Linked DNA regions of Drosophila melanogaster. The protein of the gene in region 1 interacts with the protein of each later gene in a pairwise test. Each region holds a gene or a part of one and is shown in the gene's direction. Other genes may lie near its edges. The genes, in order: Patj, CG13871 and mTTF.

Region 1 (6,212 bases):
GAAAAAGCGCCAGAGCTACCAGGCGCGCCTCATGGACGTCAAGGAGCGGATCTCAAAGAAGGATGGCGACGAGGAGGCCCTGAAGGTGGGTCATTGCACCGAATGCACTGCGCACTTGTTGCTTAGGCTAATGCCTGGTCTGGGAGTTCCCTATGTTCTCAATCCATCTAATTTATTCTTATTGTCAAGCTTATGATTGACTATCATCCTAAGTGGCCATCCATCTTTCATCGCAATGCTTAATCCCTAATTTGTATCGCCTACAGAAAGAGCTCGAAAAGATCGAGGCCGAGGGCAAAGAGCTGGACCGCATCGAGAGCGAGATGATTAAGAAGGAAAAGAAAACACCCTGGAACGTGGACACCATCAGCAAGCCCGGCTTTGAGAAGACCGTAATCAACAAGAAGGCCGGCCGCAAGCCGGATGAGAATCTGTCCGAGGAAGAGCGAGAGCAGCGCATGAAGCAATTCGTCAAGGAGAACGAGAAGCTCTGCCAGCAGTATGGCATGCTGCGCAAGTACGACGATTCGAAGCGGTTTCTGCAGGAGCATCTTCACTTGGTGGGCGAGGAGACGGCCAACTACCTAGTCATTTGGTCCATCAACCTGGAAATGGAGGAGAAGCACGAGCTGATGGCCCACGTGGCGCATCAGTGCATTTGCATGCAGTACATTCTAGAGTTGGCCAAACAGCTGGACGTGGATCCTCGCGCCTGTGTCAGCTCCTTCTTCTCAAAGATCCAGCACTGTCATCCCGAGTACCGCGCGCAGTTCGACAGCGAGATCGAAGGTTTCAAAGGACGTATCCAGAAGCGTGCGCAGGAGAAGATCCAGGAGGCGATAGCCCAGGCCGAAGAGGAGGAGCGCAAGGAGCGCCTCGGACCTGGTGGTCTGGACCCAGCCGATGTCTTTGAATCCCTGCCCGATGTACGTTCTAGTGATTCACTGTATGGGAATTACTTGACTAACTTTTCATGTATTTGCTCCGCAGGAACTAAAGGCCTGTTTCGAGTCCCGCGACGTAGAGCTGCTGCAGAAGACCATTGCGGCCATGCCCGTGGACGTCGCCAAGCTGCACATGAAGCGTTGTGTGGACTCTGGTCTCTGGGTGCCCAATGCCGCTGACTTGGAGGGTGACAAGAAGGAGGAAGATGACTCGGATGACGTCGCCGGTGGCGAGGAGAAGACCGACGATGCCAAATCAGAGAGTGCAGCCAAGGAGGAGCCCATCTACACTGGCGTCAGCACCGAGGACGTTGACTGATCGCCGCCACGTTTCCATCTACACCATAGCTCTAATCTTAATGTATTTGTCCACAAGCATATTTCATCCATAGCCAGATCCTGCGTCAGTTGAGTTATTGTATATAATTTGAATAAATTCTCAGTCACACGTCAAACATTCTGTGAACACTTCTGCCAGTTGTTATACGCTTCGACTCCGAATAGAAACAATGAACCGGCCGGAGCTGGACTACTACGCGGTGCTGGATCAGCCCAGAGGCGCCACCAAGGAGCAGATTACTCTGGCCTACCGCCGCCTGGCCATTCGGCTTTGCCCACATCGCGACAAGAAGGACGAGCAGGACTTTGTGCCGCTGGCCCAGGAGGGTCGTCTCACGCACCTCTCACCCATGGGCGAGCCCAGGCAGTGGGCCTACGTCAACATGGCCTTCGATGTGCTGGGCAACGATCTGTACCGGGCCATATACGATCGCTTTGGCGAGGCGGGTTTGTTCGAGGGCGTCATGCTGCCGAACGGATACTTTCCGCCCTATCAGTACGACGGCGACCACATGAAGGTCTACGAGCGGGTCTTCGGTAGCTACTCGCCGTATGCCAACGTGATCGATGCGATCTCCAATCCACCGAGCTTGTACGCTACGCGCCAGCATGGCATTGGCGTGCGTTCCAAGGACGCCAGTACGGAGAGGATCATCGAGCTGTCGCTGGAGGAAGTACGCACTGGCTGCGTCAAGCTGATGAACGTGTGGCGCCAGGAGATCGTGGACGCCAAGGAGTCGCGGCTGGAGAAGCGCAAGCACACCTTAAAGCTGAACATTGCCCCGGGAACTACGGCCGGAACTCGCTTCTGCTTCAAGGAGGAGGGCGATCGCTATCCGGCCACCATTCCGGGTGATATTATTTTCATTGCCGCCGACAAGCCGCATCCGGACTTTGAGAGGAGAAACCAACACGACCTGGTCTACAGGCAGTCTATTGGCCTGTGCCAGGCCTTCACCGGCTTCACGTTCTTCATTTGCACGCTGGACCGGCGCCAGTTGAAGGTGGTCATTACGGACGTAGTGCAGCCGGGATACACCAAAGTGGTTCCCCTCGAGGGACTCCCCAAGTGCCGCAATTTGGATGCAGTTACGGCCATCAAGGAGGCCAACAAGAAGGTGGAGCAGTTCGGGGATCTCATTATAGAATTTGATTGTGGGTTTTCCTTTTCTGTTGGAGGTTTCAATAGTTTCTGATAGTTTCTCTGTTTCTTCTGCAGATATCTTTCCCAAGTACTTGACTCCACATATGAAGCATATCACTCGCGAATTCTTCCGCGAATTCCGCAAGCTCGAAATAGAATTGGAGGAGGAGGAGGAACGTAACATGGTTTGATGGCAGACACCTTATTGTTTTTCCGTATTTGGAACACAGATATTTGTGCGTACAGAGAAATTAAATTCAAAATTTGCGTTTAAAAGGATAGATGTTGTTGGGTTATTTCGTATAGCCATATTACATACGAGCACATGCAGACTATATTCAAAAATCTTAGATTTAATTAAATTAGCAGATGTAACGGTCGAATTTGAATTGATTTTGAAAAGGTGGCAACTGTTCCGATTATGTCGATTGCTTATCGATGCACAACGCAGCCGCTCGGCAACCCTGTCCATCAGCTGTTTGTGAAAAGAAAATGCATTTGGCATTCCATTTCAGAGATAATTAAAAATCAATTACAGCAGCAGCAGCAGAGCAAGTGGCCACCGAAAAGAGTGCATAGGAGAGGGTAAACAACTCGCTGCATCCAAACGGCACAGTAACTGATCCGAAGCTGTCCCACTTAGAGCCCAAATCGAATTACCCGTTTTGCAGTTTAGGACAAAGTGTGCCAACGCCACAACGCCCCCACCCAGAAGTCCATAGAAACGCCAGCGGAAGTGGGATAGAGACGGGGACCACGCTCCACTGACCGCACCGCGCACCGCTCGCTGACCACGCCCACTGACGCAAGATGCACCTCAGCGCGGATATTTCCAGCGCCCTTCAGCAGATCGAGGCAGTGAAGAAGGGCATCGATGAGTCCGACGACCCCAAGCTGCAAATGCAGACGGCCGAGAGCCTTAGCACCATTCTGGGCATTCTGCAGGATCCCGTTTTCCGCACCATCGTCCACGTGCAGGACTCGTTGTCCGAGCTGAACGCCCAGCTGGCTCAGCATCCGTCCATGTTGCCCAACGACTTCGACATCGATGTGGCCGGCAACCTTGTACTCAGTCTGAATGGTGGCGAGGTGATGTACGACTTTGACGAACAGCGCTCTTCCTCGCACTCCCATTCGGCTCCGGGCAGTCCAGATAAGTCCGGAGGCGTCGGCGAGGAGCCGCGCCCGCAGAGCCAGAACTCCAAAGGAGCCGGAGTGGCGGATCTCTACGCCACGGACTACGCTCAGATCCAGGCCATAGAGCTGGTCAACGACGGCACGGGTCTCGGATTCGGTATTATTGGAGCTCGCAACTCGGGAGTGATTGTAAAAACCATCCTGCCGGGTGGCGTGGCCGATAAGGACGGACGCTTGCGCTCGGGCGACCACATCCTCCAGATTGGAGACGTCAACCTGCACGAAATGGTATCCGAACAGGTGGCTGCCGTGCTGAGACAGTCTGGAACCCACGTCCGCCTAGTGGTTGCCCGTCCCGTTGAGCAGAGCGTGCCTACGCCCCAGTACGCCCTGGAACCGGGCACTGCTGTGGTGCCCACGCGCGTCCTCGTCGATCCTGCCGAGCTGGAGCGGTACCTCATATCTACCGGCTATCCGGAAATCTTTGGCGAGAGCTCCACGGCCTCCACTCCGCAGACCACCACGGAAGACGATCGTTTCGTTTATCGCGGCGAGACATCAATGCTTATTGATCCAAACATCGACCTAGAGGAATTGCTTGCCCTTCCTGAAACGGAGAAGCTTCAGGTGGAGCTGAAGAAGGATGCCAACGGCCTGGGCATCACAATTGCCGGCTATGTGTGTGAGAAAGAAGAGCTGTCTGGCATTTTCGTAAAGAGCGTGTCGCCCGGTTCAGCAGCGGACCTGAGTGGTCGCATCCGGGTCAACGATCGCATCATTGAAGTTGACGGCCAGTCGCTACAAGGCTACTCCAACCACCAGGCCGTAGAGCTGCTTAAGAAGTCTGGTCAGGTGGTGAACCTGCGCTTGGAACGCTACCTGAGGGGCCCCAAATTCGAGCAGCTGCAGCAGGCTATCGCTGCGAATGACAAGCTTCCATCCAGTGCACCTGGAACGCCTTCAAGGGCTCCCATGCCCACGCCCGTGGCCACAACGTCCTCCGCCACAACTACACCATCACGCAGCATCACTCGCGAGTTGGAAGAGGAAGCCTTACCAGCGCCAGAAGCATTCATGACCACTCCGCCGTCGGTCACCACAATGACCACCACCACATTAAGCTCCTTTGGAGCGGGTAAGCAACTAGTAGCAGTAAGGGACTCCCTAGACGGCTCCACGAAGATCATACCCACGGAAGTTGTACCCTTGGCGGATAAAACGGAGGTGAGTATTAGCTAACGGGTAACACAGCAGCAAAACGTATAGCGCATTAACATGTTTTAGGCCAAGAACAGCGGGGTGATCACCCGTCACAAGTACTACACCGATCCGGAACTGTCCGACGACGCCGAAACCGAAATTATTCGCAAATGGCAGAAGATTGTGGGCTCCGATGTGGAGGTGATTGTGGCCCAGATCAAGAAGTTCGCGGTCGGAGGCTTGGGGATTTCCTTGGAGGGAACCGTGGACGTAGAAGGAGGGCGCGAGGTACGACCCCATCACTATATTCGTTCAATCTTACCTGATGGACCCGTTGGCGTGAATGGAGTACTCCGCTCTGGCGATGAATTGCTGGAGGTAAACGGCGAGCGGTTGCTGGGTATGAACCACCTGGAGGTGGTGGCTATACTTAAGGAACTGCCGTTGGATGTGCGCATGGTTTGCGGTCGCAACAGGAACAGCTCGCTTCTCCCATTCTCTGATGACACCCTGAAAAAGCTAAGCAACAACTTTGAGAACCTGCTGCCTGCTACCGATCGTCTGGTGAAGGCCAAATCAGATGGTAGTCTGGCCACCGCGGGCTCCGTGGCCGATGGAGATTCAGTGGCTGCCGCCGCTGCTTCGTTTAGTAAGCTGAAGTCGCGCTCCCTGGAGCCACTAACCGGATTGGCTATGTGGTCGTCCCAACCGCAAATTATCGAGCTGGTCAAGGGCGATCGCGGTCTGGGCTTCTCTATTCTGGATTATCAAGATCCGTTGGATCCCAACGATACGCTGATTGTAATCCGTTCTCTGGTCCCTGGAGGGGTGGCTCAATTGGACGGACGCCTTATACCCGGAGATCGACTTTTGTTTGTGAACTCCATTAACCTGGAGAACGCCTCGCTGGATCAGGCAGTGCAGGCTTTGAAGGGTGCTTCGAAAGGAGTGGTGCGCATTGGTGTGGCCAAACCACTGCCCATGACGGACAACTCACTGAAGGCTTGCAGCAATGCGAGCACCACCAGCGAAGAGACCTTGGACGCCCAGCCATCGCCTCCAGCCTTGCCCACAGTTGCTCCGCCCGCCATGCCGCCTAGTGCCTCCATGGGAGCTGAGCCCGACCTGATTCCCGACTGGCGGAACTAGGGTGTTACGATAACGAAGAATTTCACACATTCCAGGCATTTGAATCTTTAAGCCTGTTTTAAATCAAATCAAACGCGGTTGCTAACTAATGGATTAGTTAATCGATATTTTCTACGAATATGAACAACAGGCAGTAGAATCTGAAACGATGTCAGAAACGATGCCAGAAGTACAGGAGCGATTGTTATTACCGAAGCAAAATGTTATGCATATTATTAACGCCGAATTGTGTTTGTCCCCTGAAAACAAGCATTCCACAAGTATGCAATATATTAAACCCCCTAGTATTAGCAAATGAA
Region 2 (6,212 bases), on another chromosome or scaffold:
CGAATGCGAAAGAGCTTAGGTGCCACTCGAAATGCCAACTGGTTGCAAGCAACCAAGGTTGCCCGGGAAAAGGGCCCCTCCCCCCGTTTACGTATACTTAATATTATAAATGCTTACGCACGGGCTCAGGCTTTTGCGAGTGTCACAGACTAATTGGCATCCAATGGGATTTACACAATGTAAACAGCTTGTTTGCGAAAACAAAAGATTTAATTACAGTGAATTTTTAACATAACATAAACATAAGACTAGATAATGACAGGTGAAAAGAATACTGCTTAGAAATGTTTTCATAATTGTTTAGTTAGTGCTTCGTTAGTTAAACAAATGTCATTATTAAACTTATAATCCTTAAACTTATATGCAACTTTATTACTTCTTTGTCTGAACAGATTAAAAATATATTACATGCTACACTGTAATCCAAATCGTAGGCCTAGGGCGCCTTTGGCAGCTGTTCTTGTGATCCCATTTTTCTCGAGGCCCCACCGCCATGCGGAACAATGCCAAATGCTGTGGCGCTTTTCATTTGTTTTTGTTTACGGATTGTGCCAACCAGGCCGACTGCCACGCCCCCTGCGCCCACCATACCGCCCCATTTGGTGGGTCGTTTTATATAGCGGCCATATAGTCGAGATCTTTATAACTGCGTCGTAATGAAATTCTCGCCGTGTTTGCCGAGATGTAGACAAACATTTTTTGATGGTGCAATTTGAATTTAGTGTATTGCACCAGCCCAAGGTTATTCAAATATCTAAGAGAATGAAACTAGAAAAACAGCAATTGCAATGCGAGAAGGCAATCTGTTAAGTTTTTTTTTTTTGCTTTTCGGCTTGAAGAAAACTTAGTTCTTGAGAGTTATAAAGACTGCGCACTTTGAAAGGGAATTGGCTGATTATTTAGCTATTTTGAGTGCTTTAAGGCTACTCGAAATATGATTACTTATCTGGAGAGTAATCATAAAAAAATGAAAATTATTACCACAGACCACACTTATCTATGTTCCATAACAATTTATTTGGACCAGCAATCCTATTTTGAAAGCCAAAGAAGGAAGCAAATAAACAGTGCGACATCGATTCAGATGTCTAAGCTTCAAATAAATAAACTATCAATCGAATTCATAATTATTAATTAGCTAATGAATTCGCGACGCAAAAGAAGCTCAGGGCTGTTGTGGCAGACGATTTACGAGGCAGGCCAATAACAATTGGTCGCCAATGTTATTGGATGAGTTGTGTTTTTTATTGGATCGGAAGACAAAGTTCGGAGGTCGAGCTGACTTAAGCCTTATTGGCTTAATACGTGCGGCTTTCTCCATTGACGTCACTGGTGAAATGTGAGCGGTGTGCTGATGAAACTAGTTCAATGTCGCTGGCCCACTATGACGTCACCGTTGGCAGACATCGCTCATCCGCCACGTCGGCCCAGTCGGCCCAGTCGTCCCAGCCGGCCGGCCTTTGGAATGGGCGTAATATATGGGATCCGCTCGAGATTCGGTGTTCCTCACTCCCACTATCAACCAGCAACATCCATGACCCGATATGCCTTCCAGAAACTTCCCTGCGCCACGTGTCGCGTGTCTGGCGTGCGTGTTTGTAAACAACTGCACTGCCATGTCCTTTTTACTATCAAAACAACAGGACACCAGGGCGCAGGCGCTGGAAGGCTATGCACATTCCACACGGAACAGAGGCTGGAAGTCCTGGAAGGAGGAACGAGAACACAGAGCCCAACACTCCAGGGCGTTCAAATGTGTATACTCGATGTCCTGACTTAAATATTACTTATGATAACAAGTTAAGATAAATAAATATAAAGTTAATATATAGCTTTGTCTAAAGAAACTACCTTGACAAAATGACTGCAATAAATGTTTATATTAAATTCATAAACATTAATTCTAGAAAAGAGCACTAGGCTTTGTGTACTTTTTTTTTCCAAATATTTGTGTTTTCTTCTTCTTTTTTTACAAAAGAAATCATTCATTTATTGAAATATTACTAGTTGTTAACTGGGCCTTATATTCCGGGACGCCACTGTCGCGTTGGGGATGCCCTGCTCTTGCGCACTTTTATTGACAATTTCTTTGTTGTCTGCTCCCCGTTGGTGTTGCTTTTTGGCTCAAATTGCCTGGTTACCGCAGTCATTTGGCCAAGTGGCAAAATCAATAGAGGGAGTTGGAGATGCCAGGAAACAGAAGCCAGGAGCCCATTACCTTATTATAATTGGGAGTATTATCAATCGCAGGACGGCACACACATGAAATGAAACGCCGCCTGCCGCAGGAAATGCGTGGAAGCCAGGAGCCTCTTACTGCTTTTTACTCCAGTTGTAGGAACCGTTGTAGAAAAATAAAATCAATATTATCATTTTGGCGTGCATATTGAGGACAGTCATTGCACTTGGTTTCGCAACACTTGGTTTCCGCTTGTATTTAAGGCATTAACTAAGGATTTCGGACCCCGTTTAGCGTTTAGTTTTTGTGCCTTTTGCGTTTGAGTGTCATTTAACGATGAGTTCGCAAACTCTTGAAAACACGCCTATGACACAAAACTTTCAGGGAGATATGGGAAATCTCTGTTTTTCGCTTAACTTCACAATTTATTATAATTTAGTTTGTATTTAATATGTCCATTTATTTCGAGGATGTGCTGCACAGTTGGACGTGAAAAACTCGACTGTGGCTTACGAACTGAATGAGCACAGCATTTCCACTTTCCAGTCCGATTTCCAGTAACCTTCCAACCACTGATTCCCGTTATGCTTTGTTGCTTGAACAAGCCTTCTCCGTGTCCTTAGAAGTTCGACCTGACGTCGTCCTTTGTTGAGCAAGAAAAATATGACTGCCTTCTTTCAACAAAATATTAAAAAGATTATTTACTACCATTTAAACTCTACTTGACCACTTGAGTTCTTTGGGCAAATAATCTACCAATTCACTTTTAATGTATACTTTTTTTTTTAGAATTCTTCGCTTTAATTATAGAAGATTTTTAAAAAATTATTTAAACATAAAAACAACCAATGAGCATAACATGTCATGGAACTGATTTCGAATATAAGGAATTTTACAAACATGACTCGGCGATAATTCCAGCAAGATGTTGTGCTTATGAGAACAATGTCAACGCGGATTTTGAGCCACAGCGCAGTCCGACTTTCATTACTGGCAATGGCAATCCTGGCGAGCGTTGGACAAGCGACCGACCGATCCGAAGGAAGATCAGTACGCAGGTACTCATATGCGGATACCTCGTGGCCCAGGCGGCCGTTCGGCAGCGAGCGAAGGGACTTGGCGCCTTCGGAGCAGCGATACTTCTCCGATCCGGAACTGCTCTTCCAGCGGCTGGACGACATGGAGCAGAAATTGGGAATTCCAGAAAAAATGGCTGCTGCTGGCAAGGTGAAATCGGAACACTATCTGGTTGGTCCCACGAATGTTGCCGCCCAGATGCTCAAAGATAACTTGTACAAATTTCCGATTGATGACGGCGCCATTGGACAGGGAATGCACGATGATTGTCTGGGTAAGGAGGATGTGGATGATCCCTTCGAGTCCCTGGCCAGGATGAACTTCAATGAGCATTTGAATGAGCGTAAGTCCGATCGTGAGCTCAAGAGGGTGCTGGGTGGCTACTTAAACGACCAGCAGCTGGATGGAAAACCAGCTGTGGCAACAGCCAATTTGCTGGCCAAGGTCATTAGCTCCAAGGTCGATCAGCCCAGGAAGTCTGGGCCTTGTCGTGGCACCACGGCTCGATCCCACGGGTTCACCACAAGAAGCCCTACGACTCATCGGACGACCCTTAGTACCACAACGCGCAGTCCCACCACTTTCTGCCTTCCGGAACCCTCATCCGATCCTCCGCTCAAGCCGCTTCCCACATCTCCACCAACACCTCGTCCTCCGCCTTCCGCACCTTCGCGTCCACCAACGACGCGAAAGCCATCTGCTCAAAGGATTAAGCCCAGTAATAAGTGCCCCATATCGACGAAATCTCAAAAGCTAGGAGGTGCCAAGGTGCTGCTGGAAATCATTTTGGCCACCAAGCAGCATGCCCTATCGGTGCTCAAGAATCTCAACTACCTGGAATTGGAACTGCTAAGTCACTCAACGGACGACGATGTATCGGAGAACCACGTTAAAGAGAAAGAACCAACAACAAAGACGTCTGAACGTATCGAAAAACCCGAGCCAAGGCCACCATCCAGGGTATTTTCCTTTGGAATTCGACCAGCGAGCCAAAAAGAGAGCTTGTACGACTTGGCAGTGGCCAAGGAGGAGGAGTTGAAACTGCAGGATCGGGTGTGGGAGGAGCACCAGCAGCAGATGAAGCTAAGGAGGCCAATGAAGCCAAAGAGGTTTGAGGTTGCTCCGGCGGCTGCTGCACGCCTGGAACCTTTTCAGGAGCCTCGAAAGCCACTGAAGTCCATAAATTCCATGGAGCCTTTTACTCCTTTGGAACCAGAAACCTCCGACGACAACAGACGTATCAATCTGGAAGCCTTGAGCGTGGTAGTCAAGCCAATGTCCTCCTTTCCCAGAAAGGATTCTCTTAGCTCGTCGCCGCGAGCACAAATGAATGCTGTTCAATTGGAGGGCACAAGCGATGATGAACTGCATCCAGGCAATACATTTGAATTGAGACCAAGAAAGAAGAAAAAACACAAGTTGTACGCTATGGAAAAGCAGACACAGACTAAAAAGCTACCCATTGCAGGAGTTTTTTATTAAGTCATTTGTATAAATATTAACAGAGTTTTATTGAAACATTTATTCAACACTTAAATATATTTTAAAAATAAGAAGTTTGAATTTTGGCGCCAATACGTTAACCCTAAGACAGTGCTTGCTTATAGCTTTTCGTATTTATATGCCACTTGACGTATTTTTTGACATCCAGCCCACGGTCTCACTAGAAGGCGCCGAAAATTTTAGAAACGTCAAGCGAGAATGAACTCCCGTATTGTTGTGTTAAAAGGAACTTCGTTCGGGATCATCGGAATATTCATTTCTCAGGAAAACCCCAATAGTCTCATTTATGCAGTTTGCAGTGCATATCTTGCTGAGACTCGATTTTTATTAATTGTTTAATAGTTTGGTAAGGACAGAAAACTCACAATATCGCATTACGACACATTCTTTGTATTTGCACAAACGAAATCAAATTCTAAAATATAGATCAAAATAATTTAATTCTGCGTCTGCGCCGCCGCTTTCGTCCATCTCTTTCTCGTCTCTATTCTCTTTATTTTTTGCCCCTTGTCCGTCTTATTTTTCTAGCCCTGTGTTTGCCAATTTTATTGTGCACACTGAAAGAATAACGCGGAACAGGCGCAACTCAATGTTTGCAGAATAATTTAGACCCTTTCAACCCTTTAGACCCTATAGTTTAGAAATAGTATATTAGAAATTTCTTTTTGCCGCGTTGTTTTTTTCTGTGCATGCTTAATTGTTGCTGATTTGGGAGTGGGGGTGGCGGTGGGCGCACGCATTCCACGCCACTTGAATCATGCTCAATGGGTTAACCTCTCTCCGCCTCTCGCTCTCTTCGACAGAATCGTGGAACGATCATAATGGAAAAGCAGGAGGTCCTGGAATACGTGGCCAAGGTGGTCAGGGCCCTAATCACGTCAGCTAAGCCGCCGGTTACGCTGCGGTCCATCGTCGCAGATTACATGGAGATTGAGGGTGAGCCGATACCCTTTCGCAGGCTGGGCTACTCGAATGACCAAGAGCTGCTTAAGGATTCGAATCAATTCAACTTTCACCAAAGCGGTAATCAGGTAAGTGCCATCTCCGTCCTTCCAATTGTTACGCCTGTTGCCTAAATTGTTGGCAAGATTCTTTGCGAATTATTGCATATCGCAAATGTCAGGGAGTGAGCGGCTCTCTTCCACCCACTTTAACCGCTTTCTTTTGCCCACTTCGCCTGAGCTTGCTCTCTGGGTGCCTCTCTCACGTGCGCAGCTTTCGAGTTGCTCTCTGCTGGTGTCACCATAGCTGTTAGCTAAAACTAGCTAGATATTTTTTACTTTCTTTTCAATGTATTTTAATTAATTAGAATACTGGAATTAAAGAAATCAGTGTTACTGAATTTAGGAAAAGGAGATGGTTAGCTAGTTCCGTTTTGATTTCACCTTTAATGAGAGTTTGTAATTACTAATATGGCCATAAAAACCGCTAGATCTGACGTTAACTTAGACAG
Region 3 (6,212 bases), on another chromosome or scaffold:
TTGGTGAATTTTAAAAGTGTTCCCATTTGGAAAAAAGTGTAACGACACTTGATGTGGTTGTATGTTATGTTATAGGGGATACTTAAAAGTAGTAGCTTTATAATATTAAAAGTAAAGAGCATTTCAAAGTGCAGTCAGCAAATATGAAAACAATTTAAATTTAGGATAGTTTTTGAAATCTAAAGAAGAAACCCAAAAAGAATATTGAACCTGAACTATATTTAATTGACTAAACGACCGGAAACGATTTTAAACCAATTCAGATAGTTGACCTATAAGCCAAATGCTTTCCATTCAACAGCGAATTCTGATTTGCAAGTTTCTCCTTCTAATCAATACGCATTGCTAATTGGCGTGCCATTTGATTTGTGGATCTAAGTAAACACTTAGTCACTGTTTATGTCGCTTCACAAATGAAGCGTTAAAAATTCAATTTGCAAGCTCAGCTTTCGGAGCTTTCGAATTTGGCCAACTTGCTGGTATGGCAGTATAAGCTCGGCTTACAAAGTTGTCTTTGCAAAAGCTACTTCACTACTTTTGATCAGTTTTTTGGTATAAATAGGAAGTTGTTTTAGAATTTTCAGCTCATTTCAAGTTTTTCTTTTCTGCCGCTTGTGTGTGTGTATTTCTGATCGGTAGGTTTAAATGATTAAGCAATTAGTTTACTTGGCCTAAACGATTTTCAAAGTTCAGTTGATTTTTTGTGAAACAGTTGTAAAGGTTTAAAAACTTAAAGGATTTGTACTCTTCCTTTTTTTCGGGTTTTAAAGTGACTAAGCTTAATTTAGAATACATATTCTAATATGATCATTAAAAAAAAAACCTTTTCGGAAATGACATAGATAGTTTCGGTATGAATGCGAATTTCAAGCTTCAGCAGTTCTGTCCCACCAACTTGATAATAATAATATTTTCCAAGCCATTATAAATGTTGGCTAATTGAGGCCTATGGCCATAGCTCAGCGTAATGACATTAAACAACCATGTATTGAGATTTTATCTAAACAAATCGCCCAACCGGTTGGACAAAGGCCCATAAATACATAAATATACGGCTAAAAGTCGCAGAGGGAAAGAAATAAAGAAGCAAAACTTGGCTCCGACACTAACATGTCCAATATTGAACTTTAGCATATTGCAAGACAAATGGAAACTTGGCTTACGGGCCGGTCTTGACAAGGTCTTTTCGAATCCATGGCGACCCAAGTGGAGGAGGCCGACGATCAATCAGATCGGTACTTCGAACTCCACAAGCCTCCAATCCACCTTGAACCTGAGAATTCGATTTGAGGAAGTACTTAGGCTGTTGTCTTCAATTGTCACTTGTCATTTCTAGGCGATTTTTATCGCACGGTAAAAAAAAGAGTTACTCTTCTATGGAAATGTACTGCAAACTGGTTTGGCTTTAAACAGTTTTCGTTTACGTCCGAAAAACCAGTTTGATGATTTTTTAAAAATTGGTTTAATCAACATGCATCTTGGCCAATTTCAATATTGAACAAAGCTTTTGTCTGCGCCTTCTTAATTCTGCGAATCTGAAGATTTACGAGCCGATCGTGATTGAAATGTTAAGTTCACTTCGAGTGGTTTCCCGTAAATAATTAAAATGTTTTGATTGACATTTTTTTTCGGCACTAATACTGGTTATTACAAATCAGACAGTAACACTGCAGCCTAATCCACAAATCTTGTAGAATCACAGACTGTCAACAGTCAAGGCTGCAGAGAAATATACCCATTATGGCGACAACTGGGACCGAACAAACTGCATAATAAACGTTGGCGTTGACAAACTGCATAATTGGAGCTAGTTTTCAATATATTTGCGCCTGCCCACGTATACAAGTGTAAACTTTGAAAAGGAAAAAAAAAAAACTAAATAAATAAAAAACTTAAGCAAAGTCAAACTGGCCAAGGCCAGTGAAAAAAGTCTCACTTGAGTGGAAATGTTAATTAATTAATTTATGAAAAACTAGTTAACGCAATTAAGCAGCATGCACGAATCTAAAAATGTTAAACAATGACCGGCAGTAAATATATTTTAATATGTAATTGGATTCAACTTGAAAGCACTAGAAGTTGAAAGTAGAAACATTGACAAGTACTTGTGTCATTAAAACTTGTTCTGCTTAAGCATATTCGGTTATGGAAAATGGAAGGATTTCGCACACTCACTTGGTGCGCTTCGTCACTACGTGGACTGTTCTTCACAGTGATGTAGCATAATTAAGCCAACCAACTGGATTTTAATCGTTACTAAAGCGATGTTTCCAACTCATGTGATATTATTTTTAATTTTCCCTTAAACAGATATGTTCCGTTTGTTGGTTCTTGCGGCCTGCCTGGCCATCAGTGTCCACGCCTACTCCGATGGTGCTCCAAAGGTATGAACCTGCCCCATCGAAATACATGACGGATAGATTCCTTATATTCCCATCTTCATTATCCCAAAGGCCGCCTGTCGTGACCTGACGCCCCAGCACGGAGCCAAGCTGCAGGTGACCAAGCCGCCGTACAGCATCTCCGGACCCTCCCATGTGCGCTCGGATCAAAAGCTGACCCTGACGCTGGGCGGCGATGAGTTCCTTGGCTTCATGATCCAGGCACGCGATGGCCAGAACCGCGTCGTCGGCCAGTTCCAGGTGGTGGACTCCGTGCACTCGCAGACCTTGGACTGCTCCGGCAAGGACGACACCATCACCCATCTGAGTGCGCAAAAGGGCAAGCCGCTGACCGGCATCACCTTCGACTGGATTCCGCCAGCAGGCTACAAGGGCAACGTCAAGTTCATGGCCACCGTGGTGCAGACCGGATTCGTTTACTGGGTGGGTCGCGTCACAAAAGACATCGATGTGGAGTAGTGCTTGTGATAGATGTTTTCATGATTTGTTCAAAATCCTACAAGTCTTTGTTTAGCGTTAATGTTCCGATTAGCTTTGGAGCGTAGTATTTTTGAAAATAAAATCAAAAAGTTCGTTGATAAAATGGGAGTGATTTCAATTGTGGGACTCTCTGTCTAAGAATGCTTAGTAGATTTGAAAATAAATATTGGAAGTGTTTCACACTTATATTTAAAAAGTGTATGTGTATGTTATTGTGTATGAACCAGCACACTTCCTAAACATATTATGAAATCAATTGCACCTAGAAAAGTTATTATATTTTCCTAGAAAACAAATGCTAAATTTATTAAATTGCTGTTCCGAATAACGGTCATTATTTTCAAAACCGATAACGATAATTGTTTGAGTGTCGTATACTCCAGCTTTCAGTTGGCCCACTTGGTCAGCTGTTTATCGCCGCAACATATCAGCTGTTTTCCGCTTGTTTTATAAGTTGAAGAACTTTATTTTCTGTCTTGATTCTGTAAATTAAGCAAATTCGGGATGATTAGAAGCCTTCTGCGCAGCTTTGAGACGGCACTCAAGCTGCATGCCGGCTTAAATATGCACCCAATGCACTGCAGCAGGCGCCTACTCTTCTCGCAGTACGAAAACCGCGCCAGTCCGAGCAGACTGACCTCCAGTGGCACTTTAGGTAGCAACGAGGCGGAAAACGATTATGTGCCTTATCGCCAGGATCGGGAGACTGGAACCAAGACGCGGGTGCTCCTCGAAGCTCTGCGGGAACGTTTTCGCTTCACGGACGCTGAGCTCCAAAAGATAATCAGCGACGAGCTGGTGCACCGCTGCTACCGCGGTAGATCACTGACTCTGGTCATGGACACACTGCAGCTAGAGGGCGTTAGCAGGCGCAGCTTCGTGGAGTATCCTTGGCTACTGTCGCTGGACAATAGTAAGCTCATTTGCTTTATATCCTTTATGTGATTAAATCATCGGTTATTTGTTTATCTATTCAGAACGCTTGGAGCTAAAGATGCAGCTACTCAAGTCAATGGACTTTAAGGACATCAATCATTTTGTGCCTTTCCTGCGCCTCACTGTTCCACGTCTTCGAAAACTGGTGGGTGCTCTGAACTCTGAGAGGGATGCAATGCCACAGCGAAATCGTGTCTACTATATCAGCGAAAAGCTGGATGTCAGCCCCGATATTGTGAGCAAATATCTATCGAAGAGGCTGTTTATCCTGGAAATGCCGTTCGAGATGTTCGAAAAGAACCTGCAGCACATGATCGACTACAATGTGTCGCCAATAAACGTACTCAAGGATCTATGGGCCTTTCGCTATACTCCAAAGTCTGTTCAGTTGCGTTTGGAGCGCGCCAAGCGGGCGAAAAAGGACAAGATCATGCCGTGGATGGTGCGCTGCCCGGAGCCAATACTGCAGCGCTCCCTGAAGCTTTCTCTCGACGAACTGAAGGTTTTGGGAGAGTTCTCCTCCGTGGTGGAATACTTAGCGCATCGTCTTGGTTTCAGCACCAGTGAAGCCAAGGCAATCATGGACAAACATCCGCAGGTGCACACCGTGCGAGTTACCAAGGTAAGTCACAATGGGTTAACTCAAACAATCATAAGCTATACAATTTTGCCTTCAGATCAAAGAGGTGCTAGACTACCTACTCGATGAGGCCCAGTTTACCAGATTTGAGGTCGCTCAAAATCCTCGAATTCTATGCCACAGCCTGAAAACCACAAAGGAGCGCATGGAAGAACTGAAATCGCACGGTTGTCGACCCTCCTCTCTTGTAATTCTTTGCCGCAGCCGGAGGGAGTACGATAAGTTTTTGCAGAACTGGATAAGCCATGAAAGAAATCCGCAAAGTGTATCAGAAGGATGATGAACTGACGAATGACCTGATGCCATCACCGTGAAAGCTTAAAAAGTTGTTGTAAAGTTAAGATACTTTTTTCAAAAGTTTTGCCACGAAATTGAACACGATTAAAAGCCAATATTCAAAAAACGTTATTAATTACGACCAGGGGACCGCTGTTATGATGGTATCTTCATTTTTAAAGGACCCTTAACAAGTAAGGTTTCCATAATATTGTAAGGAAACCAATCAGGGAACCTTTTCGATTTCAATAGGTTTTTTAACCACCAGTCGGATTACTCGTCCTGCGGACAGAAAGTTTAGTTTGTTTAGTTTGGACGACTCTCTGCAGTCATTCTACCACTTCGGATGGCTTAATCAGTTGGAAATTTTCTTTCAACATTTATAAACGCAGAACAAACCAAATTGCAAACTTAGTTAATTAGAAAATTCCAGAAATGTTATTGCCCCTCCACATTTTCACCGTTAGCGATAAAAATTTCTTGAAAGCAAAAGGCAGCTAAATTATTTATGATGTTTATATTTAGCGAATGAAGTATTTTTCAATATTTTGATTGCTTTACAAGAATAGAGAATATTCTATATCTAGATACATAAACTATTACTGAGGTTCAAATAGAATATTGCTAACTGAGTTGTGTATAAAAGACTGGTTACTTTGGACGTGAAGCCACTGCAATTCAAAGTATCATACAAACTGGTCAAGATGTTCATCCAAAGCTTCCTGTTGCTATTGGCGCTCAATTCCCTGTCCGCAGGACCAGTAATCCGGCCGGAAGAACGCATTATCGGTGGACAACCCATTGGAATCGAGGAGGCACCATGGCAGGTGTCCATACAACGTGATGGCAAACATTTATGCGGTGGCTCCATTTACAGCGCAGATATCATCATTACTGCGGCCCATTGCGTCCAGGGCCAGGGATATCAAGTTCGGGCAGGATCCGCCTTGAAGAACTCCAATGGAAGTGTTGTCGATGTGGCCGCTATAAGGACGCATGAGGGATTAGGAAACGACATCGCCATCGTGCGGCTAAGTAAGCCACTTGAGTTCACAAACCAAGTTCAGCCCATTCCATTGGCCAAGACAAATCCCCCGCCTGGATCGATTGCCTTCGTCTCTGGCTGGGGAAGTTCTTCTTATTACTCACATCCCATCGATCTTCAAGGAGTAAACCTTTACATTCAATGGCCGTACTATTGTGGATTAACTGAACCGTCAAGAATATGCGCCGGATCTTTTGGAAGGGCGGCTTGTAAAGGAGACTCTGGTGGACCGTTGGTGTTTGACCAACAACTTGTGGGTGTTGTATCCGGGGGTACAAAGGATTGCACGTATAGTTCAATCTACACTAGTGTCCCATATTTCCGTGAATGGATCTTAAATGCTATCGATGAAATAATGTCAGCGAATCGAAACAAATAAATATTTACAATTGCACAACTAATTTTATCATTTGACTTGACTATTTCCACTATT

The links.
Region 2: the proteins of Patj (region 1) and CG13871 interact in a two-hybrid assay, tested with the Drosophila melanogaster proteins (one large-scale study listed by BioGRID).
Region 3: the proteins of Patj (region 1) and mTTF interact in a two-hybrid assay, tested with the Drosophila melanogaster proteins (one large-scale study listed by BioGRID).

The regions. Positions count from the first base shown.
Region 1 is NT_037436.4:1,795,912-1,802,123, forward strand, and holds the start of Patj (patj), read left to right. Parts: upstream 1-2,891; 5' UTR 2,892-3,012; exon of another isoform or gene 3,013-3,042; intron 3,043-3,070; exon of another isoform or gene 3,071-3,098; 5' UTR 3,099-3,237; coding exon 3,238-4,788; intron 4,789-4,848; coding exon 4,849-5,913; 3' UTR 5,914-6,212. Other genes in the region: Cdc37 (cell division cycle 37), read left to right, coding at 1-85, 267-926, 991-1,263; CG12020 (uncharacterized protein), read left to right, coding at 1,454-2,438, 2,503-2,618. UniProt on the Drosophila melanogaster protein: Involved in cell polarity establishment. Probably participates in the assembly, positioning and maintenance of adherens junctions via its interaction with the SAC complex.
Region 2 is NT_033778.4:20,314,233-20,320,444, forward strand, and holds CG13871 (uncharacterized protein), read left to right. Parts: upstream 1-3,090; 5' UTR 3,091-3,175; coding exon 3,176-4,738; 3' UTR 4,739-4,807; downstream 4,808-6,212. Other genes in the region: tapas, read left to right, coding at 5,581-5,790.
Region 3 is NT_033779.5:14,345,881-14,352,092, reverse strand, and holds mTTF (mitochondrial transcription termination factor), read left to right. Parts: upstream 1-3,302; 5' UTR 3,303-3,386; coding exon 3,387-3,795; intron 3,796-3,859; coding exon 3,860-4,440; intron 4,441-4,495; coding exon 4,496-4,738; 3' UTR 4,739-4,854; downstream 4,855-6,212. Other genes in the region: l(2)34Fc (lethal (2) 34Fc), read left to right, coding at 2,313-2,384, 2,454-2,861; Send2 (spermathecal endopeptidase 2), read left to right, coding at 5,439-6,158. UniProt on the Drosophila melanogaster protein: Transcription termination factor. Binds promoter DNA and regulates mitochondrial replication and transcription.